Regions from separate parts of the Mus musculus genome. Here all the other regions are reported to be linked to region 6. The links are microRNA targets in miRTarBase. Many come from high-throughput screens and were not tested one by one. Region 6 holds a microRNA gene; each other region holds the end of a gene's coding sequence. Distances are from middle to middle.
Evidence for each region. The annotated mature microRNA mmu-miR-5125 reads UCUGCCUGGGAUUUCCUUGU and lies in region 6 at 1,453-1,472, opposite strand. An mRNA with a match to its seed (bases 2 to 7 or 8) in the 3' UTR can be bound and repressed. Matches are read on the target gene's strand: a 7mer-m8 pairs with bases 2 to 8, a 7mer-A1 pairs with bases 2 to 7 and ends in A, and an 8mer does both.

Region 1 (4,086 bases), 2.0 Mb from region 6:
GGGCTCACTGAGCTAGTCAGGGGACTATCCAAGTGCAGATGCTCCGGGGCTCCAGGCAGTGCTATGCTGTCCTAAAACCACGCAGCAAGTATTATGCCTGGCTCGGAGACTGCCCCTCCTACCCTCTCCTCACAGGGCCCTAGACACTGCATCCTGGGCCCAAATCCAGCAGAGGCTGCAGGACTTCTCCCAGGACACTCAGGTAGTAGGGAAGGAGCGGCGGAGACCCCCTACTCTACCTCCTACCATGGCTCATAACTCATGCCTCCACCAGGCAGAGCTAGAACGGGAACGGGCACAGCTGATGGTCCGGGCCACCATGGCAGAGCAGCAGCTTTCTGAGCTACAGGAGTATGTGGACCAGCACTTGGGCAGGTAGGCTGGATGTGGCTCCAGGGTCCTAATCTGGTGGAAAGAAAAGAATCCATGGCCAGACAAGTGATTTATCATTCCAATCAGGTACAAGCAGGAAATCTTGAAACTGAGGAAGTTGGTGAATATTGGAGATCCCCAAGGAGTAGAAGCTGTATCTTCGCCGGGTAGTGGTGGCGCACGACTTTAATCCCAGCACTCCGGAGGCAGAGGCAGAGGCAGGCAGATTTCTGAGTTCGAGGCCAGCCTGGTCTACAGAGTGAGCTCCAGAACAGCCAGGGCTATACAGAGAAACCCTGTCTCAAAAAAAAAAAAAAAAAAAAAAAAAAAGCTGTATCTTCCACTAGGCCTCAGCGCCCAAGGACTCAGAGTCACTAGCTAGTCTCCCAGAAAAATCTCAAAAGAAATCTCTTTACAGCCAGCATGGAACCCTCTGGACACCCTGCCCCAGGAAGTGATTCCTGGAACAAACAAAAGTCAGGATTGAACCCACAGAGTCTTTATTTTATCCAGTCAGCCAGTTTGTCAAACAGGGGCTCTAGGGACTAAGGTAGAACTGGACTCTGGGATGGCCTTGATGGGCACCCCACAAGAAGACACAGTTGGCCCAGAACCATGGACATCATAGGCCCAAACTCTGTCAGTGCCCTCGCCCACCACAGCTACAGGCTGCCAGGTGGGAAGGGGGAATCGTCCAGATACCACACGGGCCCCCACAGGGAGCTCTGCTTGCAGTTTGTCCTCCAGCAGTTGGAGCTGTAGGAAAGAACAGGAGGGAAAAGAACACAGGAGCAGGTCAGAAAAAGCTGCCCCATCCAGCTGAGCCCAGAACATATTCCAGGCCCGAGAGCATCCAAGAGCCAAGACTGTGGCCCTGATCTCCCAGCAGGACAACAGACCCAAAACCTACCACACTGGGAGCCAGGAACACAGACACGTTGTGACAGTCCCTGAGGCTCACCTGTAGAAAACAAGGGTAAAGGCTGGAGGGCATGCAGTCCCCAAGGTAGGGCCTCTAGCCCACCCAGATATCCACATAATAGCCACTCAGAGCATGAAACTTGGGAGATAAAGATATCAGGAGCTGGAGGTGTGCCTCAGGTGGCAGAGTGCTTGCCTAGCATACACATATCCCTGGGTTTAATCTCCAGTTCTGCATAAACTAGGTCTGATGCCTATAATCCAAGGCTAGTTTGAGATAAGCCTGGACACACATCTCAAAAAAAAAAAAAAAATGAAAGGAAGAGGGAGGGTAAAGAAAATCAAGTTTGGAAAGAAAGAGAGTGGGAGGGGGAGGGAGGGGTATCAAGTTTGGTAGGGTACCTTCCAGAGATCTTTTCGATGGTAGCAGACACTCGCAGAACAACCGGCTCTCCAGGCATGCAGCCGTGCAAGTCCCACAAGCCACGGGTTCAGCTCATATCCCATAGCTGGACGGAGACCACATTGGTGGGCCGCCAGCACCTATGGGAGCCAAGAGTGTGGGATCTGGATGAAGGGAATGGGGCCACCACCAGAGGGACAACGAATATATAGACACAGGTCTTACGATCCTGCCATCACCAGAGCCTAGATCCACCATTTTTCCAGGGCGGCCTCGCAACAGTGACAGCACGTTCTCAACCTGCCGGGCACTCGCGCCAACGTAGGGCACCTGAATAAGGAATTTGGTGGGCTGAGGCTAGAAATCACACAGGCAGAAGCACCAGTTTGGGGGCCGATGGGAGCCTACTAGATTTCCTTTCTTAAATTGATACCATCCAGTGAGCCCCGCCCACTCTCCAGTCATAGGCCCGTACCCCCTAAGTAACTCAATCCCAGCTTCATTCATTTAGACTTGGTCTTGACGAAAGACCCAGGCTCCGCAACTTCCTGGTCCCAACTCTCCGTACATCGGGTTCCCGGGTTAGGTCCCGCGCCATAATTGATTCCGCCCATCTTTACGCTACCTACAGTAGCCTTGACCCCACCCATGGAACCTTGGCTTGCACCAGTATTGGCCCCTTTCCTTCCAAGGTTCAACGCTGCACCTGCAGCCTCAGAGGCACCCGGCGGAAGCCCGGCTGCAGCAGCAGCGCCCATATAGTATAGACGGCCAATCCCGAGCCTGCCGCCGCTTGCACTATCTCCAGCAAGCCCAGCCGCTTCTCGCGTAGCTCAGTCAACGCTTCGGCTGGGTCGTCCTGATCCATGATTGACAGACACTCAGTTCCAGGTCCTACTTCCCAAGGCTCCCGGCCGGTAATGGAAGCGGTTGCCCTCCCCGCTGCCCCCAGCCTGAGCCAAACTCTATCCGCTTGCAGCGTACGCCAGCCAACCGCAGCCGCAACTGCAGAAATCTAAGTATCCGCTGCGATCAGTCGCCGGAAGTGGAAGAGGCCTCCGAGGCCAGTCCGACATTCATTCTTTTCCGCCCAGCCATCCGGGGGACCCTCCTTGGGTTCCGGGTGATGGTTTGGGGTAGCGATGACCCAGGCGATGGGCGAGAATGACAGGGTTTGCCACGAGTGGGTCTACGGTCCGAGACATACAGCGGTCAGCTTCAGGGTCCACTTTACAGACAACCACATGGAATGGAATCTGTTCTAAATCCCCCTGAGGCTGTACTGCTGGCCGGCAGCCTCGGGTTATAGCCAGGGTCTATAACTGAAAGGCACTCTCACGCAAATTCTGTTGATCAAGACAAGAAATGACTGAAAGCCTACCAAAAATCCAGAAGCAAACCACAGAGGACGTCCTTCCAGCCGCCCCTCCCCCTCTTCCGCGACAATAATTAGGCGGGAAACAGAGAGTATTCTGGGGTCGAAGGAGAGGGGCGGGCAGCTAGAGACAGATGTTGGCTCTCTAGTGAGTACGGAGGGAGGGGGCCGGATGTGAGCGACTGGGTGCTGGCAAAGGGCCCAGCCTAGGGTGGAAGACAGCCCAGGAGTCCGGAAGATCTCCTTCTTTCAAAAATAAAGGGTTGAGTGACTCTTAGTAAGGCCCTGCATGGAAACAGATAGAGCCTTGAGTCAAGCTGCTGGACCCCGACCACCCACATCAAGGCTAACTGTCTGAGAATGGTAGATCTTCCCTGACTATGCTCACTCATGGCCTCTTCGGCTATCCCTAGCATAGACGGTGATGGCTTCCAAACTGAACATGCCCAATACCACCACCCTATCGCCCAGGCACAGAGTGTTACCCTCCAAAACCATCTGCAGGACAGGTGTCGCAAGACAGCATGTATTCTGTGTACATGTATTCTGCAGAGAGGCTCTGCTCCATCCAGCTCAGAACCTGGCCACCGGAAGATTTATACCAGAGCCCTCCCACACACTGAATTCTAGACAGGGTTGCTTGGACATAGCTATTCCTGTCTGCTGCTCCTGGCAGTACTCTAAGACCAAGAGCACCCAGGAAGCCCTGGCAACTTGACCTGACATTGGCACCCACACTCTGCTCCTCAGCTGCCAGGGCTCTACTTGGAGGTGTCTCTGCTCCTCGCAAGGCTTTCCCAGGCTAGCTCCTGTGATTTGGGTCCTGCTTATACACACCATCCTCCTTGCTGTCTCTGTCTCTACTGTTTGGAGTCTTCACCACCTGTTCCCTAGAGCAGACTTGAGGCCACTGGACCAGCCTTCCCCTACCAGATGGAAAGACAAGGGTCTAAATCCTTAGCACTCCATGGAGCTTGGGGAGAAGAGAAGTAGTAGCAAGGGGCCGATTCAGAGG
Region 2 (4,071 bases), not on the chromosome of region 6:
AGGTACCGCAGGCCGCGTCTGCAGCAAGACTTCTAAAGGAACAGATGGGTGTGAAATCATGTGTTGTGGCCGAGGGTATGACACAACTCGGGTCACCCGCGTCACCCAGTGTGAGTGCAAATTCCACTGGTGCTGTGCTGTGCGGTGCAAGGAGTGCAGAAACACTGTGGATGTCCACACATGCAAGGCCCCTAAGAAGGCAGAGTGGCTGGACCAGACCTGAACACACAGAAACCTCATTCTTCCCTCCACTTCAAGCCTCTGACTCAAAAGCACAAGACCCTTGCATGCGCACCTTCCTCTACCCTCAATCCTGGGCTGCTATGGCTTCTGTCACGGACCTGGAGAGTGATCCGGAGGGACCCCAATGTCCCGGCCGCCTGGTTCCTTAGCCCTAGGGACGTGTTGATAGGGGATGGATTTAGGAGGCTGAGTGACTCCCTGATGGTCCATCTGGAGGTTTGAAGGGAGAGTAGGAGAGGTCTGTCTTCAGAGTGATTTGAGTTGCACTAAGTCAAGGCTCATCCTCCCCTTTGCTTGCACTGACTTCTGATCCTCTTTGGGTATGCAACAGGAAGGGAACCTGGAGGTAGCTTCCGTGTTTGATGCTACTCTGCCTGAGGATAGGACAGAGATAAAACTGCCTGTCCCTTTGCTGGAGACAGTACGGGCAGACAATCTTAGGCCATAGTATTCTGCTGAGACCCTGAGATAGCTAGATGGGTTAGCCACATTGAACAAGGCTCCACATCATGCTTCTACGCAGCTTATAAAGTAGTGGTTTGGTGAGGAGGAAAATCACAATGCTCTACAGATACACATTCTCTGTGCCTCCCTTTCCACCTACATCACACAGCAGCAGCCTGCTCACTGGCTGCCTGTTCAGAGTGAGGCAGCTTGCAGTGGGTCAAATTCTTACCAGGCCATTAGAGGCCCGGAACAGGATTGTGAGAGAATGACATAGAAAGCCTGGCTAGGCCTTGGGACTTCCCCCACATCCACTATTCCGGAGATTCGGTAGGAAGGGAGGTAACTCATGGGAAGGGTGAGCGCACCTGATCTCAGGGGTTCCATGAGGATCAGTGTATACTAGGAAGGCAGAGATCTCGCATTTTGCTAGTTCTTGAGGATCTTCAGCTTTGAAGTAGGAACAAAAGGCAGCAGCTATAGAGAGAGAGCTGGTGCTGGAGCCGAGGTGGCAAACATCCTATAAGGCCTTTCTCATTTACCCAGCAAATCTTTATTTTGTGATTCACCAGGTCCAACTGTTAACTACTGCACGTTCCACGATCGACTTAAACAGGGAAGGTTCTCTCTGTGCTACTGACCGTTGCCTAACGAGGGTACACAGGAGTGGAGCCTTCAAAGAGAGCAGGCACAGTGACATGGGGGTTCCAAACCTTGATGGTCTAGTTTTATGTGACCTCGACAATGGTCATCTTCTTCCCTATTGATAAACAGAAATAGTATAGAAATCCACAGTTAGACTTAGGTCTAATCCCAGCTATTTACTCTCTATTTTTTATTTTCAGCAGGGTCTTTAAATTCTCCTCTCCCATTTTCTTATCTGTAAAGTGAGGGTGAAACTGAGATCTAACTGTGCCCCAAACTCTAGCCGACTGATAGACGTCATCAACACTCTCACTGGTCAAGTACTTCCTGCTTCTCTGGGACCTTCTGATTTAGGGCTGTCTGGGCAGACAACAGACTAGATTCAAAGGCTTTCACAAGGAATTCTGGATATAGCTCCTCTCTCTCTTCTCAGGTTCCTCTTCATCCAATCGTACTCTCAGATGTTTGTGGAGCAACCTCTTTCTGCCCAGGCAGCAGGAGGCTGGGGTGGGGTGGGGTGGGGGGGCACAGCTCTGGCCACAGAGGCAGATTTATTTGGATGATAGGACTAATATTTGTGTAACCTGCTGAGACCTGTGTGGGAGAGTTTAGTATGGTTTTTCTTTTGGTGAGGGGATTTGCTCCGGTTTCACATCCATTAACACAAAACATGAGCTAGTCAGGGCCCTTGTGGTCTGTGGTGAGGGGATGACTGGAGAAACGGGACTGAGTGAGTCAGGCGGAGGGAATGTCTTCCTCGCAGAGTAGAGTCAACGGGATAACTGATGAGCCAGTGGTGGGGTCACGGAGGGGGGCGGAGGGGAAGAGGGACTTCTCTTGGAAGAGAGGAGTTTTGGGGCAGGGGCGAGAACATCCAAGTTACGGTATCAGTGATGGCATTGGCCTTCACTGGGGAGCCAGCCTGAGGTAAATCTACTTGTGCTGTATTCTCTTTGAGTTTGGGTTCTTAGCTGTGGCAGACATCTGTGACATCTCATATTACTCCATGCCTTTGCCTGGGCTCCAAATTCTAGCTGATAAAGATATACAACCACTTATAAATGGCTCAGAGAGAAATAGCTGTCCAGGGAGTGAGAAGTTTGTAAAGTGAGGTGTTTATGTGAGAGAAAAGATATCCGAGTCCTGCTACGGAAGCTGTGTGGCCCCAAGAAGGAATGGTGGCCAAGCAATTAGTTTTTCCTCCGAACTTAGCTTGTCTCTGCATTCCAACTGGCTTTAGACAACTGGCGCTCATTCTGCGCTATACAAACAAACTGATTTATTTGGAACAAGCAACAAAACAAGAACTTTATTCCGTGCCGGGACTCCACAGAATTCTGTTGCTACCTACTCCTTGTCTGCTCTGAAGGCCTCCTCTTCTGTCTCTAGATGGTAGAGGTTTGTTGCCCACCAGCGGTGTCTTAACCTCCTTCCTCAGTTCCTTTCTCTCGTGTTGGCCCTTACTTCATTTATCTTTTGATAAACATTTAGGACAGTGTATTTCAATAGGAGCTATTTGGATACAAAGTGAACTTAAAAGGTACTGTTTCTATCCTTTAGGGATAATAGGATCTTTTCGGAGAAGTGGCTGCACAGCCTGCAGGCAGTTTCTTTTAAATAGAAGAGCCAGGGTGATGGCTTATGGTTGTAATCCCAACACTCTGGGAGGCTGATGCAGGAGGATAGCTGTGTTTATGAGCAGTGAGTTCCATGTTAGTTTAAGAGCAGAGTAAGACCCTGTCTCAAACAAACAGGAAGAAAGAATGTTGGCCATACCCCATAACTCAGCACTATAGAAAAGAAGCTTTCAGTTTTCAGCTCTGAACAATGGCATCAGAGCACGCTCTTCATTAGTGTACTTCAGATTAAAAGAAGAAAATACTGTCCTGAGGGTCTGTGTGCAAAGCTTTGGAGATTTAACTTATGAGCACTCCAGGCTTCATCTCTCTTCCTCTCTGCTGTAGGAAACTATCTTCCCCTTTCTCTTGCATCCCTTATCGAGAACACCAACCATCAGGTCTCTTGCCAAATTCTTAGACCCACTCAGGACATAAGTCTCTGCATGGCTTAATAGAAGACAGATAATCAGGATTTCCCGCCCCCACCCCACCTTTCTAAAATTTGTATTTAAATGCCCTCAGTGGTCATAGGGCAGAAGCCCAAGCTAGCTGGGGATAAGGGACGCGGCCAGGGAGAGTGTTTCTCATCCCTGGGAGGCATTCTGCTTAGCTCCTGCAGCCAAATTACAGCAGCAGAGAACAATGCAGTGCATTCCTGGGCAGGTCGGTGGGCCCTGGGCGCCTGGGTCTGGTGGAGAGAGGTGCCAGACACAGAGCGCTCCATAAGCAACCCTGCAGAGCTGGCCCTGGGTGCAGAAATGAAATACAGCGAGCTTCACATTACACACCTGGTTATTGATGGCCTTGCTGGAGGCCTCTGCCCCCACCTTCCACTTGGGAACTGCCTGTACTGCGGGGGCTGGGCACCTCCGAAGCAGTGTTGGAATATAAGAAAGGCATGCTTCTTTTTTACTCTTTGCCCTTCCTGTCAGCCTGAGCATAACTCTGAGGACACACATGGACCCATGTGCAGAAGGTGGACTCAAAACAGACTCCCACAGCATTTTTTGGGTTGTATGGGGATTATAATAATCTCACCTCTCCCAACAATTAAAATAAGCAGCTAGATCCTCCAGAAGTCACACCAACAACAGGGTCAGCTACAAGCAAGGAATGTTTC
Region 3 (4,086 bases), not on the chromosome of region 6:
CCCTCTAATATTCTCTCACCCCAGTCACTTCATCCCTGTCATCTCCAAGACCCACAGAGTGAGAAATGGCACCCGAGATCTCCTGGGCCAGCTCCTGTTGTTCTGTGATGTTAGCTATCAGTCCCTCTGCCTTTCCAACGTCATTAAGAACAGGATACACTGCCAAGGAATCAGAGGGCGCTCTTCCCTCAGCCTCCCTTCCCTGAAGCCCCTAGCCACCATTGGCTTTCTCACCTCACACCATCAAGTCCTTCCATCATATAGCCTCACATTGGATTTTATACTTTCTTCCCTAAAGAAGCTTTAAAAATGAATCGTTTTTGCTTAGAATACCCTGACTAGCAAAAGGATCTTTCATGAAGAAAGCAAGGTTTCTAATCATTAAAGACATGTGTATATTTTGAGAAGTTTAAGAAATTCGAAGTGCAAGCTGGAGAGAAGGCTTAGTTGTTAAGAGCACTTATTGTTCTCCTAGAGGACACAGGTTTGGTTCCCACCATCTCATCTTTGATGCAGTGAGCATCCCACATGAGATATAGTGATTCTACATGAGATGCAGGAACCATCCCACCTGAGATGTAGTGACCATCCCAACTGTGATGCAGTTACTATCCCACATGAGATGCAGGGACCATCATCCCACATGAGACAGCTCACATTGCCTGTTAACTCCAGCTCTGGGGCACCCAAGACCCTCCTCTGATTTCTGTGGACACCCACACATGTGGCATAAACACACAGAGACATACACAAAAATAAAAGAAATTGAAAACAAACAAAAAAAATCTCAGAAGACAGAGAGGCTGGGAGATCTCTGAGTTTAAGGCCAGCCTGGTCTACATAGTAAGTTCTAGAACAACCAGGGGTACCAAGTCCCTGTATCAAAAACAAAACAAAAGAACACATACAAAACAAAACCAAAAAGGCCGGGCGATGGTGGCTCACGCCTTTGATCCCAGCACTTGGGAGGCAGAGGCGGGTGGATTTCTGAGTTCGAGGCCAGCCTGGTCTACAGAGTGAGTTCCAGGACAGCCAGGGCTACACAGAGAAACCCTGTCTCAAAACAAAACAAAACAAAACCAAAAAGAAAAGAGAAAAAACCTTATAGAGGACCCAGCAGTTCCCAACACCACATCTGATAACTCAAAACTACCAGTAACTCCAGTTCTAGTTTCTTGATCAGTATTTTTTCTGTCTCCTCCAGTTTCTGTATTGTTTCTTCAGGAATTAAACCCTCCTTTTCTTCAAGAGTCCAATGGAGCACACCCGTATTGTATGAAGGAAAAGTATTAGCTACCAGTTACTGAGTACACAGTGTATGCTAGGTGTACATTCTAAGTAATTATAATGAACGTGTTGGTGTCACTGGACAAATATGAAGACGAGCACAAAGACTGAAATGTTTTTGTCTGGAGTCATGTTCAGTAGATTAAGTCGTGATCAAAATGTTGTGCTGGGTATGGTGGCACATACCTAAAAATACCAACACTTGAAAGGCTGCTACAAGAGGATAGCTGTAAGTTTGAGGCCAGTCTGACCTTCACATGAGTCCAGGTCAGCCAGGACTATATATAGCAAAATCCTGACTCAAAAGAGGAAAATAAAAGAAGCAAGCAGACTCCAAAGCCCATGTTCTTTGGCACCTTCTTAGTTTCATTTTAAGTCACATTTGATGACCACTGTCCCACTTGCTGTCTGTCTTGATGTCAAAGATCCTGCTCTACATGATCAAACTAAAGGAAGTTCAAGGGACTGGGGTACAGGGAAGACAATGTACCAGTCTCTCCCCCCATTTCTATAGTGAATAACCTTTGCAAATAAAAGTCTGGTGCCTTCTGCCTGCTTTAAACCCTCCCATCCTCTCTGCATTGCTGACGGGATAATAACCCAAAAATGCTTCTGGAATATACAAGGTCTTTCATGACCTGCTCATCTCGCCATCTACGCTCCTACATCCTTTCCTTTTTACATCCCCCACATCCCCCAAACTCAGAACGGCCAGCTTTCCATAAACTACTGTAATTGGGTATATGTGTCGTGAAGGCTCCTCCCAGGGTTACCTCAGTGTCACACCGGGAAAACGGTAAGCCTTTTTGAACATGGTATCCAGAGCCTACATCTATGCTGCCTTGGTTTTTTGGGATCATCTGTATTGCTGAGTTGCACATTATACTGCCAATGAGTTTTTCTAGACACACCCATATCAGCAGATACAGCTTAAAGAAAATTGTCTTTCCTTTTCACTTTGGATCTCTTTTATTCAAATGAAGTAAGCAACAACATTTTAGAAACGACTGGATACAGCCACCTGGAAAGCAGTCCCCTCAAGCCCATGCATGCCACAGGAGTTAACAATTGTCTCACCACCATCCATTCACACCCCCTGACTCAGTCCAGCTCAAGGCTGACTGGGACAAGGCGGTTGGATAAGGTTGGCCTCTGGCAACAGGGTGCCAGGCTGGGTCAAGGTTTTCAGGCCAGCCTGTCTCCTGGGCCTCTTCTTGCCTGGCTCTTGTTGTTCCCATTCCCTTCTGGCCAGCACCTCCCAGGAGGCCCAATGTCTCCCAGGGTCACACCTCCTAAAGAGTCTGCCGAGTCCAGAGTCCATTCATTGCTCTCTCTCTCCCGCCTCTATCCCTCGGCTTGCCTGCCTTCCTCTAGACTATCACCATTCTGAGAAGGGCCTTGGCCAATCCCTCCAGGATATAGATAGCCATGACATCATCAATCAGGATATAGCGCAATTAAAACCTTGGAGGGACAAAGCCTCGTGCTATGGTTGGCTCATTCCTGAGCTACTCCCTACTACCAGAAAAGGCCGGCCGGCCCCAACCTTATTTCCAAACAGTATTAACTTTTAGTCCCTACAAAGAAATGCACAGCGTTATGGCACCCCACTATTTGAAACCGTTGGAGGAGGTCTCAGGGTGGGTTCCAACACAAGGAAACAACAACCTGGTGCACTCTAATCAGGACACAACTTCAGTTTACATGTTAGAAAAATGGAAACAGACTGGAGAGATGGCTCAGTGGTTAAGAGCACTGCCTGCTCTTCCAGAGGTCCTGAGGTCAATTCCCAGCAACCACATGGTAACTCACAGCCATCTGTAATGGGATCTGATACGATACCCTCTTCTGGTGTGTCTGAAGACAATGACAGTATCATATACATAAATAAATCTTTGTGAAAAAGAAAAGAAAAATGGAAACAACCCATACGGTGGCAGAACCCTGACTGTCACACGTGGACACTTTAATACAAGAGCCCCTGACAAGGCTTTCTTGATTTTAGTTTTACACTGCAGATGAGGCTTATCCACAGGATTGGACCTCAGAGTCCAGCTTGGGCCTTTGCAAATGTCTCTAATCCTTGAGTTAACGTTTGAAGACTCATCCCATCCCGGATGTGAATGCAGGTAACGCCTGGAACAAAGAGCAGTCACATTTTACCACACTTTCAAGGCTCTGCCGTATACTACCCACCCTACACTTACTTTATCTTCTTTTAAGAACTCCCCCCCCCTCACCCCCCAGCAGTGACTCAGTACCAAGTCTGCCAACGTCTATGATATTCCGATTCTCATCATCAAAGAAGACCATCTGAGAGAAAGGAACTCCGGTCTTGTGGTGCAACCTGTGAAGAACAAGGCAGGGGTAACCACTTGTCAAGCTGACTTCTTTTGTAGTCCACTTGCTCCCACACCAGCTGTCTGCCTACCTCTCAAAGTGTGTGACTTTGCTGCCTGGGTAGATTTCCCGCTGAATAAAGTATTTGCCAAGGTCAAAGAGCTCCAGGAGTTGGTTGGCCCCTTGTATCTCACTTGTCCTTAAAAAAAAAAAAAAAAAAAAAAAGGCATTAAATACATGCATTAGGGGAGTGCCAGAGATGCAGGCAAAGTTAGGTATAAGGGGATAAAGGGACAACTTTGCCCTGTTATTCAGTTCCAGAGATTCCGACATAGCTAGCGCTGAACTAATCTTTAGTAATTTAGAAGTACAGAAAGCTAATGATAGAAAAGCAACGAAGGCCGGGCAGTGGATAGCGCATGTCTTTAACCCTAGTAGTTGGGAGGCAGAGGCATGTGG
Region 4 (4,086 bases), not on the chromosome of region 6:
TGGGGGCGGGGGTGGGGGGAAGACTTTTGTGTGCACCTCACCAGCCCACAATTCCTGTTTTTGTTTTGCTAAGCTGAAAGTTAAAATGAAGCCAAAGCCGTGGTCCAAACGCTGGGAACGTCCAAACTTCAACATTAAGGGAATCAGATTTGACCTTGCTTTAACTGAAGAGCAAATGAAGGAAGCCCAGAAGTGGAACAAGCCATGGATTGAGTTTGATATGATGAGAGAATATGACACTTCAAAAATTGAAGCTGCATTGTGGGAAGAAATAGAAGCATCGAAGAAGTCTTGATCCTGGGACTAGTGAATGGCTCAACAGGTAAACATGCCTGTTGGCTCAGGCCTGATGCCCTGAACTTGACTCTGGAACCCAGGGCGGAAGGCGAGTAACAACTCCTAAAAGTTGCCCTTTGGCTTCTACTGCACATCCTTGCGTATGTGTACTGCAATTACACACACACTTAAAAGTATCTTTCTGCCGGGTGTGGTGGCGCATGCCTTTAATCCCAGCACTCGGGAGGCAGAGGCAGGCGGATTTCTGAGTTCGAGGCCAGCCTGGTCTACAAAGTGAGGTCCAGGACAGCCAGGGCTATACAGAGAAACCCTGTCTTGACAAACCAAAAAAAAAAAAAAAAAAAAAAAAAAAAGTATCTTTCTTTTAAGCCCTTGTTCTGAGAATGCCTTTGGTTAATGTATTAGCTCTTTGGTTTGAAAGCCATTAAGTTTGCTTTGTAAGGACATAGTGATTAAATGAGCATTCCTCACTTTTCGGTACCTAGCATAAAGTCTGCATGTCAGTTTATTGCTCTCAAAAGAGCAATCACCTGACAGTCATTCCCTTTCTATAGCCAGTGAAGTTAGCATCACCAGAATAAGATGAACTGGGATCTGAGCAAGAGGAGTAGGGAAAAAACCATAAACACACAACAGTGTGCAAGTTAAAATGTAAGAATAGGAGCTGTAGAGGTGGCTCAGTAGTTCAGAGCACTTGCTACTCTTGCAGAGGCCCTACGTTTAGTTCCTAGCACCCAGGCCTGTATGTGTGTACATGGTTCCAGAGACCAGGAAGTATCAGACTGCCTGGAACTGGAGTTACAGCTGCTTATGACACAGGTGGTAGTTTGAATATGCTTGGCCCATATGGAGTGGTACTGTTAGGAAGTGTGGCCGTGTTGGATGAAGTATGTCACGGTGGGGGTGGGCTTTGCGGTCTCATGTTCAAGTGTGGTCAGCGTCAGACTCTCCTAGCTGTAGTTGGATCAAGATGCAGAACTCTCAGCCGTGTGTCTGCCTGGACACTTCCATGATGTTAATGGACTGAAGCTCTGATACTGTTAAGCCAGCCCTAATTCAATGTTGTCCCTTATGAGAGTTGCCTTAGTCGTGGTGTCTCGTCACAGCAATGAAACCCCAGCTAACACAACCCACCTGATAATCTCTCCATTGTTAAATGTCTAGTTTTGACAGGCTCATTAGCTGGTAGAAAAGGGTCCTGTTTTGCTACATGGCAGTTTTAAGAAGAATGTGGGAATCTGAGTTGTTGTATTCTGGCTTCATTTCCCCCAAGTTTACAAAAGCCACTTGTGAGGAATTCCATGGGTAGAATTCCAAGTGAAGTCTGCTAAGCAGACCTCAGGGTACCTGGCAGAGCCTGTGTGAACTGGGTGTGAATGTCCAGCAGGAAGATGGTCAGAGAGTGTTATCTTCCCTATGAATCAAGCTTCAGCTTTTGGGGGTCAGCACTCCCTCTAGTGGGGCAGAGTGCAGCTGAACATGGGCTGGGAAGCTGGGATGCCTCACAGAGTAAAGGCTAACCCATTTGTAACATCACAGTGCCAGCCTGGATCTCAGGACTATTTTTCTGGTGAGCTGCTCTGCATTCCGTGTCATTTTCCTGGCTGCTAACTCCTTAATTATTCTAGTTTCCAGAGATGTGCATGTGTGTGGACCGCCATGGGCATACATATACCTCATGATCAGGCTCAGGAGTCCTTTCAGTCACGTTGGCCACGTTTTACTCTTGAGAGAGACTGTACTATCTGGCCTGTACTCTCTCTCTTCTCTGAGGTCTCCATGCTACAGAGTCTACTTGAATAGTTTTAGTGCTGCATTGAGAAACCCAGCGTCGTCCGGGTTTCTGCTCCTTGGGCATGACTGGACAGCAGAGAACGTGTGCTGTGCTTGGTGCACGGGCAGGTACATTTATCTACCTAGTTTAGGGCTGTGGGTAAGCCTCTCAGTGCTGACTCGAGTTCTGGGAGACTTGGCTCTTGCTGCTGAGTTTCTCTCCTCTGCTTCTGTCTTCCTGGAACCATTATTTGGAGTTTAGATGCTGAGTACCTCTTTTCTATTTAAGTGCATGCTTGTGTGACTGCATCAGACCCCCGGGAGCTGGAGTTACAGGTGGTTGTGAGCCACCTGGTGTGGGTGCTGGGAAGGGAATGCCACTGAGTCTGTCCAGTCTCTGAGACACACACAGGTCTCCCGATAGACCTGTCTGTGTGGGTGGGTAGAAAGGGCCCTAGGCTGTTCTCCTGTATGCTTCATTTTCCTGAACCTGTTTCAGTGTTGACAATAAATTCATGAGTCAGTTGAAGGAGAATAAGACTTTACCTAAAATTAGTTTTCTAACTCACGAACACGGTGTCTCTGCAGTTAGGCCTTTTAAGTTCCCCTCTCCAGGTGTGGTAATCCAAAGGCTTGGGAGGCAGAGGCAGGAGGGTTCCAAGATCAGTGTCACGTACACTTCAGAATGAGACCCAGTCTCCACAAAAGAAACCATCAGAGATGGACAGTGAAAGTTTGTTGTTTCTGGTTCTTAAGTTTTTGTCGTGGTCTCATGAAGCCCCAGCTGGCCCGCAGCTCACTGGGTCTGTGAGACGAATCACCAGGTGAGTGTGTGCACCTGTTGTGTCAGCGCCTTCATTTCACAGGACCAGGAGGAACGAGTAAGAACTCTAAAAGGGCAGTAGAGTTAGCATCACAATATGTTTTAAAGACGCTTGGAAGCTCACATGCCAGGCGTAATGGAATTTAAAGGCGATAGCTTACTACTCTGCATCCCATGAAGAAGAGAGATGATGACCGAGAGCACAGCCATCCACACGTCCATCTCGAAGAAGCCAAGGCCAGAGAACAGTTTCCAAAAGTGCCCTTTAACAGCAAAAATAAAGTCTCTGCCATTTATATACAAAACTTTCTGCACACATATACACATGCTTTTGTAACGAGCAAATGTCTAAAGTGACAACACGGAAAAATAAATACAGGATCATCATTGAGTTGCTTAACAAATATACTTAAGAACATTAATACAGTCATTTTGAGAAAAGTTCATAATTTCTTAATCACCTTGCCTCAGACTACCTTAATTAGAGAAATACTTTACATTTCTGTATTTAAAAGAGCAATGGCCTTTTTAGTCCTACCATGAGTTACACAAAACATAGCAAAAAAGCCTCACTTAAGGACTTACAGATGACTCAGACCACAGCTTCATTCTTCACAGGGAGGGTGAAGATCTCTTCTGAGGACCTGGGTTTGGTTCCAAGCACATTAGATGGCCCACAACCTCCTGGATTCCAGTTCCAGGGGACCTGATGCCCTCTGGCCCCTACATGGAGGTAGTGCTAAACCCACCCAGGTACATACATGACCACACATATAAAAATAAATCTTTTTTCAAAGTTTTTTTTTTTTTAACAAATTGACAATGAATCAAAATCTGGAGATCACTGGCACTCTCTTGCACTGATTTCACACAGTAAGTCAGTACAGATTTTGAAAGGACAGTTTGTATAAAAATGTGTTAGCTATTTAATAAGTAATTCCTTACACTTCAGAATGAGACCGAGTCCCCACCAAAGAATAAGATAAAAGAAACCATCCAGAGATAGAGCTTCCTCATTAGCTGATCTGCAAACATTGGAGTTTGCTGAAGATGGTTTTGATTCAGGCATGCTTCTGTGTGTCAGATTGCTTCATTTCCTTCCGGATTGAGAGAGTAAAAGAGCAGCACACTGAGCTCGGCTGCTGCTGTGCATTACTTCCCTCAGCTACGAAGCATCAGGAGGCCTGGCCACA
Region 5 (4,086 bases), not on the chromosome of region 6:
CCAGGACGTGATGCTGAGCTGCACAGTGTTGGTCGCAGGACTGTGTGTCTGGCAGCCTTTGCTCCTCCCTGAGGGTTATAGCAGACCCTTTCCTCTACTCACCTCACTTTCTTTTAGTCTGAACAGCAAAAGAAGCAACAGGAGGCTGAAAAACTGCATCGTCAGGAAAGGAAAAATCTGCGCAGGTCGGCCAGCCACCTGAGGTCCAGACCCAGAAGAGGCCGGCCCTTTCACTGACCAAAGAAATGTGCCCACGAGCAACTAGACGCTGTGCTTCTCCCCATGGATTCTCACAAGGGCATCACACCCAGGCTCCGTGTAGATGTGTGTGCATGGTGCTGGTGGTCTGACTGGCCCACTACCCACCTGGAGAAGTCCCTGGCCCTGGGTGCTTTTTCCAAGTGGCTGCCCCTTTCTCTCTCCCCCTCCCCCGCCCCCCTTAAATCTTGTCTTCTCCCCTGCTGATGATCAGGCATCATTTCAGATATTGGAAAGGCCTCCATGAAGTGAAAAGTTCACCCTCTACTGGAAACAGGACATTATCATGCTGTAAGAATGGCTTGGGTTAGCCCAGCCGTGGTGGCGCACGCCTTTGATCCCAGCACTTGGGAGGCAGAGGCAGGCGGATTTCTGAGTTCGAGGCCAGCCTGGTCTACAGAGTGAGTTCCAGGACAGCCAGAGCTACACAGAGAAAACCTGTCTGGAACCCCCCCCCCCCAAAAAAAAGAATGGTTTGGGGTTTTTTGTTTTGTTTTGTTTTGTTTTTTTGTCATTTGTTTATTTGAGACTTGAGTCAGGGTTTCTCCGTGTAGCTCTGGGTGTCCTGGAATTCAATCTGTGGCCTTGAACTCATAGAGATCCACTTGCCTCTGCCTCCTGAGTGCTGAAGTTAAAGGGATGCACCACCAGGCCCAGCCAGAGTGTCTGTCCCCACTGTCTTCTGCCCCTCAGGACTGAGTCACATGATGACTGCTGAGTGGCCCTGTTTATGTGCATGAGTATGTTGGCAGGCTGACTGGCTTGCTTATATTCCTTTGTATAGTTTTTAAGCTATTTTTATATCAAGGGTATAAATTAATAAATAATAAGTGAACGCTACTGGCTATTTGTTTAGCTTATCACAAAATTACGTAGTTATTTTCTGATGAAGTACTATTTGATACAGGCAGCGCCTATAAAAGGAGATGCTTTTCTTTGGACATTTTCTCTGAGGAAGACTCCTGCCTGTGGAAATTTAAAATTCACTTTAGCTTCCATACTTTGGAGTTTCTCATGTAAACAAATAGAATGGGAGCTCGTTAGGCTGTACCTATGGTGAGTCCACAAGGCAGGACACATTAGTTAGCAGTCAGTGTTGTTGGACCCTTGTCTCTTTAGCCTGTGATGTGTACTCAAGAACTTTCTGACTGTTGGTACATGAATCTGCACATGCGCATGCACGCACCCACGTACCCACGCGCACACACACTCCTACCTCTTTATTAACTATTAAGCAGATCCCTCCTGGGGCTGTGAGCCCCTGGTGCCCTCTCTTCCCTTTCTCAAAGTTTCCCATTTTAAAATTGTTGTGCATGCTGGTATCCCACTCTGTCATTTTTCTGTGTTTATATCAGTTGCTTTTGTACACCTATCACCAAAATAATCAATATGGACTTAAGGGATTCATCTTGGCTCTTAGTTTCAGAGGGTGTCAGGGTGTGCAGATGCTGTTCACATCACTACAGGCCAGGAAATGGAAACCCAGACAGGGCCTTAAAGGGCTTGTCTGAGCAACCTGTGGTTGACCTCTGCCAGCTAGCCTTCACCTCAAAGAACATCCCCACACATCCTAACTACTATCTGGGGACAGATGTTTAAGTTAGAGGCCTGTGGGAGACATTTCAGGCTCAAACCCTAACCTGTGATTGCTCGTTACCAGCACTAGGATGTGGCTTTGTCCAGTCCTGCCAGCAGCTGTCCTTCCCGGTGAGACTTAGGAGCTAGTGTGAGAAGTGTAGCACCAAAGCTGGGCACCAGGCCCTGGAGGACTGGGGTTCCTGAGTGATGTGTGCTCTTCTGCTCCAGATCCCTCTCAAAGCTTTAGTATCCCAATCCCAATGCCTAAATCTTCTGTTTCAAGTATTTTCATCAGTAACCTTTGAAGGAAGCAGACATGCTGGGAGGGGCAGGATTAACACAGGGCAGACAGCAGAAAATACAGGCCCAGGGGTGCGGGACTTAGAAGGGCTTCTGGGAAGAAGATTGAGTTCAGATCCTTTCCTCAGAATCCTCCCCTGGTTCTCTTCTCATCCAGTAACATCCTGAGTCCCTGAAGGACCCTGCCTGGCACAGACTCCTTTGTTTGCTGTCACCACACTGACCTTCCTCTTTCTAGAACATTCCGGGCATTCCCTCAGCTCCCCACGCTCCCCCAGGCCTCTCAAGTTACTTTCTCTCCTGTCTGGTCAATTCTGCCCCATTTACATTGTCACATCCCAGTGTCAGCATGTGTTTACAAATGGTACTCCATTTAATATGCTTTCAAAACGTCACCACGGGGACCACAGAGTCTTCTTGAGTGGAAGAAGAAAACCAAATACAGTAAATCATATCTGACCTATACATGAGTATCCATGCTCATATACTCATGCACACACATGTGCACACACACAAATAAGTATAGCATAAATTTAGAACCTTACTATGGAAAGTGTCGGGTACACACAAGAATGGATGGGGAACAGTCGAGTAGACCAGCATGCCCCAGCAGTGTGCAACGTGCTCACGGTGAGTTCTCAGCTAGCTTGTCCAGTGTCAGCTCCTGTTTCCAGAATGCCAACTCAATAAGGACTAGGGGGAATGTTTTAATCAGTATGTTTTGTTTGTAGCTGTGTATCTTAATCTCTCGAACAATGCCTACCACATCATGCAATGTTTATTTAAGCCGTTATGGGGTGCCCACCAGAGAAAACCACTCAGACGTAGTCCATAGCTGCCAATGGTGACTGCACTCAGGTCTTTGAGGCCCAGTACAGCACCAAGCTTTTAGCATAAGGGGTTTTTAAGGCAAAACCACATCCTGGTATCTCACTTGGCAGCTGCAGGGAAAGAGCTGTACAAGCAAGCAGTATAACAGAAGCCAAGGTAAATTAGCTGGAGCATCTTGACCTCTTAGAGTTGGTAATTATTTCCCACAGGATTCTCCATGGAGGAGAGCAAATTCTAGTTAAACCTAAAGTGGCCTCAGCAAGAAGACAAGCTAGAGGAACGCTGTGTTCTCCTGCCCTGTCACAAATGACTGAGTGGGATGGAATTGAACATTCAACTTTCTACTTTTTTTTTAATTAGGTATTTTCCTCATTTACATTTCCAATGCTATCCCAAAAGTCCCCCATACCCTCCCCCCACCCCCCTACCCACCCACTCCCACTTTTTGGCCCTGGCGTTCCCCTGTACTGGGGCATAGAAAGTTTGCAAGTCCAATGGGCCTCTCTTTCCAGTGATGGCCAACTAGGCCATCTTTTGATACATATGCAGCTAGAGACACGAGCTCTGGGGAACTGGTTCGTTCATAATGTTGTTCCACCTATAGGGTTGCAGATCTCTTTAGCTCCTTGGGTGCTTTCTCTAGCTCCTCCATTGGGGGCCCTGTGATCCGTCCAATAGCTGACTGTGAGCATCCACTTAGGTGTTTGCCAGGCACCAGCATAGCCTCACAAGAGACAGCTATATCAGGGTCCTAGCAGCACAATCTTGCTAGTGTATGCAATGGTGTCGGCTTTTGGAGGCTGATTATGGGATGGGTCCCCAGATATGGCAGTCTCTAGATGGTCCATCCTTTTGTCTCAGCTCCAAACTTTGTCTCTGTAACTCCTTCCATGGGTGTTTTGTTCCCAATTCTAAAAAGGGGCAAAGTGTCCACACTTTGGTCTTCGTTCTTCTTGAGTTTCATGTGTTTTGCAAATTGTAACTTATATCGTGGGTATCCTAAGTTTCTGGGCTAATATCCACTTATCAGTTCAACTTTCTACTTAATGTCAGACTTTAACCTTTATGCCTAAGAAGTGATTCCCACCTGAGCTTTCAGAGATGAGATGCAAAAAGATG
Region 6 (4,086 bases):
TACCTGATTGACTTTTCTGTTCCCTCTTGTTCACAGAACTCTTAACCCCAAGTAAAGACTACAGACCAATTACTGCATTTCTCATTTTTATTTGACAGAAAAAGTTGCTTTTACTGTACAGATTTTAAAAAACCAAAATGCCTTAAACAAAGTTGGGGGGGAGAGGGCCTCACAACCTTGTAAGGGGGTGCAGCAGGGCCAACCAACTTCAGCTCCTTCCTCTTTCAGGAAAGATTACAACTTACCAAGTTAAACCATCAGTCACCCAAGAATTTAGGGAGCTAACTCCCTGGATCATCACAATCTGAGGCCTAGATGTCCTGAGCTGTGCCCCTCCCTCCCTAGACTCCCTCCCTCCCACTCCAACCCCCAAAACACAAGAACCAGGAAAAACTCACAGAGATCAACATTTCACAGGAACCAAAAAAAAAAAAAAAAAAAAAAAGGGTGGGTGGGAGAGGACGCTCTCCCCTCAAGATGCTGCCAAGGTTCAAGGGAAGGCATACAAAGACTCCTTCCATGATTCTTCTGGGAAAAATGAGGAATACTCATGTCTCCAGAGTATGAGGTGTAGTGGAATCCAGATTATGGAGACCTGGAATAGAGAAGACTGGTCATTCTGGGTCACCACACATATCCCTATCCCTAACTACTAGCTCTCAGAAGGGCCAGACTTCCAAGGAGACACACCTGGAGGAGCGGTGACGATTAGAACGGGGACTAGGTGTCTCCTTCCTCTTGTGACCAGGAGAGTGACTGTCCCCTCGCTGGCCTCTCCAGGAAACTCGCTCACTGCTACAAGAGGAGAAATTAGGTCACAGAACAATACCAAAAACTTTTAAATTTTGCTTACAAATTAATGGTAGCTAGTTGAGTCAGGTTGCTAGCACCTGCTATAGGCCCTACCTCTGTAGATCCCTTGGTGAAGGTTGGGGCGAGGGCTGTCGACGCTCAACGGGTGAGTAACTGAGGGATCGGGAATCCCGAAGGGAGTCTATTGGCTTCCGAGGACTTCGAGACCTAGGAAGCAGAGTAGGCCTCTATAGCTCCACATCCTCCCAAACCCACCAGCCAAGCATTCAGGACCACCCACCCAGGTCCTGACCACCAAACCTCACACCACACAGGGCCAGCCTCAGACCCACCTTTGTCCGCACTCACCCATCCGCCCGCACACCATCCACCGAGTACCCCAGTGGACAGGGCACAGGGTGCAGCGGGGGATGCAAAGATAAAAGAGTCCCTGCCCTTGGAAGAATTTTGTTTGGTAGTAAAGGTTAACAATGAAGGCACACACGCCCCCTACATAGGAAACAGCCCAGCAGGATGGATATGCATGGGCCTGGGGATCCAGAGAAAGGATGGGGACCTGGGCAGGACAGGGAAATGGCAGGGCAGTCTTCTCGGAGGTGCTGTTTGAATGCAGTCTTGCAGAACGAGTTCACCAGGCAGACAAGGAAATCCCAGGCAGAAGGAACAGCATGTCCAAAGGCATGGGGCTCTCCTTAGACTGCAAGGCGCTGGGTATGGCCGGAGCACGGGGCATGTGTGGGGGCGGGCAGGAGGAGCACAGGGCGGGCAAGGGCAGCTGGTGAAGAGCCTCACACGCCATTCCCGCAGAGGTGGCACTTTATCCTGCAGGCCACAGGGCGTTCCGGAAGGATTTGTGGAGTGAAGGGAAGTAACCAGATGTGCGTTTTAGAAAGATCCCTCTGGCTACGTGTGGAAGAGAATGGCGTGGAGGCAGGGAGACAGGGAGGAGGCTGTGGACAGAGTCGGGAGAAGATGACGGTGGCCAGACCAGAGCCCTGCAGCAGCAATGGGGAGACTTAGAGCTAGATCTCTGAGACCAGGCTGCTTGTCAGGGGAGGGGAGAGGGAGGAAGAATCCTATGACTTCCCAGATATGGCCTGGGACACCTCAGTTAGATAGTGCAGCCCTTGACCAGAATACAACACTGTGGGAGGATGGGAGGAGTCCGGCACTCCTTCTCCCGTACAACCAGTCACAGACGTCCACACGAGGCACCCCAGCAGGAACCTCACCCAGGGTCCCCTTTCTGGAGAACTCACCCCAACCCCCCTTCCACAACAGGCAAGAAAGCACTCACCTCCTCTCGCCAGGGGGTGGCTTCTTGGGGCTTGCAGGTTTGGGTAATGCCTGAGGGCCAGGCTTAGCAGGGGAGGGGGAGGAGGAAGAGGAGGAAGAAGAGGAGGAAGAAGAGGAAGAAGAGGAGGAGGAAGATGAGGAGGAGGAGGAAGAGGAAGAAGAGGAAGAGGAGGAGGAGGAGGAGCTGGAACTGGAGCTGCTAGAGCGCCTCTTCCTTTTGGCCGGGGTTGGTTCCTGAGGACGTCCCTCTCTAATAGCCTCCTTTGGGACTGGGGTGGGGCTGGGAACCCTGTGAGAGAAGAAAGGTGTCACAAGGAGACAAGATGCCCCAACCCCAACCCTACCTTCCTTGGCCTGGAGGAACGGCAGTGGGGGAGGGGTGCCTGAGAAAAGCCCTGGGAAAACACGAAGGCAGGCCAGTGAGTAGTACTTCTCTGGAGCAGTGGCACAGAGCTGACCAAACCTCTGCTAACACAAGCAACAGGCTGGGGCCCGAAGCACAAGGGATCAAGGTTAAACCTCAAGAATGTCCCTGATGAAGGATTAAGGCCCCTGGACTCAGATGTGGAAGCTGAAGCTGGGTGATCTCCTTCCTTGGAGAGCCGCAGCTTGGGGAGGCCCCTGTGAGTGCAGGTTGGCTGGGGAGGGGCCGTCCTGCCTGGAGGCAGGGAGAGGGATGGGATGACCTCTGAAGATCCTTCCAGCCCAGGGAGTTCCTCTTGAGGTCTAACTGCCATCCCTCCTGCTGTAAAATTAAGTCCATTTCCTCTAGTTCTGTCCTCTGTAGAGATGGAAAACTTATCATTATCCTCTGGAGAATTAACCTTTGGAGACTTTTATCTGTCCCATTCCTCCCCACAAAGCCCCCGCCCAACATTCTTTCTACTCCCAGCTTGAAGGCCAAGGTCCCCCATACTTTCTCAAAGCCAAGTGCTTTTGACAAGATTTCTCCCTCCCTACTCACCCACCCATTGTTAAGTCCCTGCTCCCTAGATCCCTTAATTGCCTCACCTTTTCAGTGCCACCTCAGGTTGAGCTGGAAGGCTGGAACCCTCTGAATCACTAGAACTGGAGCCAGAGGAAGAGGAGGATGACGATGAAGATGATGAAGAGGAGGAGGAGCTAGATGATGATGAAGAGGAGGAAGAGCTCCGACGTTCCTTAGCTGGTTGCAGAGCAGCCAATGTAGAAGGCTGCTGGGCCCCAGTAGAGGCAGGTGGCTCCCCACCTTCAGCATGGGATATCCCAGGGGCAGGGCCAGAAAGCATGCCATTGTGGTCACTAGCAGAGGATGTGGACTTCGCTACTGTCCCGGATGAAAGGGACTGAGACCCTGCTACAGGAGTGGTCTGGACAACTGAACGAGATTGGTCTGAAAAAGCAGATGGCACAGGGGACCGAGGCCGATCCTGTGCAGGAGGGAGAAGAGATTGCGAAGAAGCCTGAACCATTCTTGAAGCAGGGGAAGGAGCCCGCTCACGCTCAGAGGTCATTCTAGACTGGCTTGGGGCAGATGGTGGTGTTCTGGACCTGGCTCGATCAAGCATTAAAGGTGAGGTTCTGCCACTAACACGATCATAAGCAGAAAGGGGCACCCTGGGACTGGTGAGGTTTGCACCAGACAATGCTGGAGCCATCCTGGAACTGGAGAGATTTGTGGGAGCCAAGCCTGCAGGGGTTCTAGAGCCAGCAATATTCACAGGAGCTGTGCCATGCGCAGATCGAGGACCCACCACCAGGTTTGCGGGGGTTGGAGCCTGGGGTGTTCTGGAACTGGAGGGGTAATTTGCAGCAGTTGGAGGTGTCCCAGAGCCTGTGAGACTCAAAGCTGCTAATGCAGCTGGTGTTCTAGCTCCTGCTAGGTTCACAGCTGAAGCTGCAGGGGTTCGAGGATCTGCAAGGTTCACAGCTGAAGGAGCCACTGCTGTTCTAGGGCTGGCTAAGTTCATAGCTGCAGCAGCAGCTGGTGTTCTTGAG

Region 1: the mRNA of Ccdc78 is a reported target of mmu-miR-5125. Seed matches in the 3' UTR shown: 7mer-A1 at 577-583, 7mer-A1 at 583-589 and 8mer at 592-599.
Region 2: miRTarBase lists Wnt2b as a target of mmu-miR-5125. Seed matches in the 3' UTR shown: 7mer-A1 at 1,096-1,102, 7mer-m8 at 1,821-1,827 and 7mer-A1 at 1,876-1,882.
Region 3: the mRNA of Mdp1 is a reported target of mmu-miR-5125. Seed matches in the 3' UTR shown: 7mer-m8 at 3,043-3,049.
Region 4: the mRNA of Mrpl19 is a reported target of mmu-miR-5125. Seed matches in the 3' UTR shown: 7mer-A1 at 522-528 and 7mer-A1 at 2,709-2,715.
Region 5: miRTarBase lists Nol10 as a target of mmu-miR-5125. Seed matches in the 3' UTR shown: 7mer-A1 at 611-617.

The regions. Positions count from the first base shown.
Region 1 is chr17:25,789,651-25,793,736 of GRCm38, forward strand. It overlaps Ccdc78 (coiled-coil domain containing 78), which reads left to right. Exons shown (of 13, transcript NM_001165929.1): 11 at 136-202; 12 at 275-375; 13 at 460-863. The coding sequence ends at 562. It overlaps Antkmt (adenine nucleotide translocase lysine methyltransferase), which reads right to left and starts at 2,744. Exons shown (of 5, transcript NM_145410.4): 1 at 2,403-2,744; 2 at 1,922-2,026; 3 at 1,696-1,836; 4 at 1,283-1,333; 5 at 850-1,128. The coding sequence starts at 2,564. The coding sequence ends at 898.
Region 2 is chr3:104,943,123-104,947,193 of GRCm38, reverse strand. It overlaps Wnt2b (wingless-type MMTV integration site family, member 2B), which reads left to right. Exons shown (of 5, transcript NM_009520.3): 5 at 1-2,389. The coding sequence ends at 223. It also overlaps a transcript of St7l not described here. Among named protein-coding and RNA genes, the nearest start is that of Wnt2b, 17 kb to the left of the region's middle.
Region 3 is chr14:55,655,652-55,659,737 of GRCm38, forward strand. Mdp1 (magnesium-dependent phosphatase 1) reads right to left here. Exons shown (of 6, transcript NM_023397.5): 4 at 3,719-3,826; 5 at 3,549-3,634; 6 at 2,238-3,423. The coding sequence ends at 3,332. Among named protein-coding and RNA genes, the nearest start is that of Mdp1, 2.8 kb to the right of the region's middle.
Region 4 is chr6:81,958,150-81,962,235 of GRCm38, reverse strand. Mrpl19 (mitochondrial ribosomal protein L19) reads left to right here. Exons shown (of 5, transcript NM_026490.2): 5 at 74-4,086. The coding sequence ends at 295. Gcfc2 (GC-rich sequence DNA binding factor 2) reads right to left here. Exons shown (of 17, transcript NM_177884.3): 17 at 3,138-4,086. Among named protein-coding and RNA genes, the nearest start is that of Mrpl19, 5.8 kb to the left of the region's middle.
Region 5 is chr12:17,428,998-17,433,083 of GRCm38, forward strand. Nol10 (nucleolar protein 10) reads left to right here. Exons shown (of 21, transcript NM_001008421.1): 21 at 118-1,098. The coding sequence ends at 237. Among named protein-coding and RNA genes, the nearest start is that of Gm36752, 5.5 kb to the right of the region's middle.
Region 6 is chr17:23,820,725-23,824,810 of GRCm38, reverse strand. Mir5125 (microRNA 5125) reads right to left here and starts at 1,520; the gene lies at 1,442-1,520. Srrm2 (serine/arginine repetitive matrix 2) reads right to left here. Exons shown (of 15, transcript NM_001368687.1): 11 at 3,121-4,086; 12 at 2,111-2,398; 13 at 907-1,020; 14 at 691-795; 15 at 70-595. The coding sequence ends at 586. Elob (elongin B) reads left to right here. Exons shown (of 4, transcript NM_026305.2): 4 at 1-71.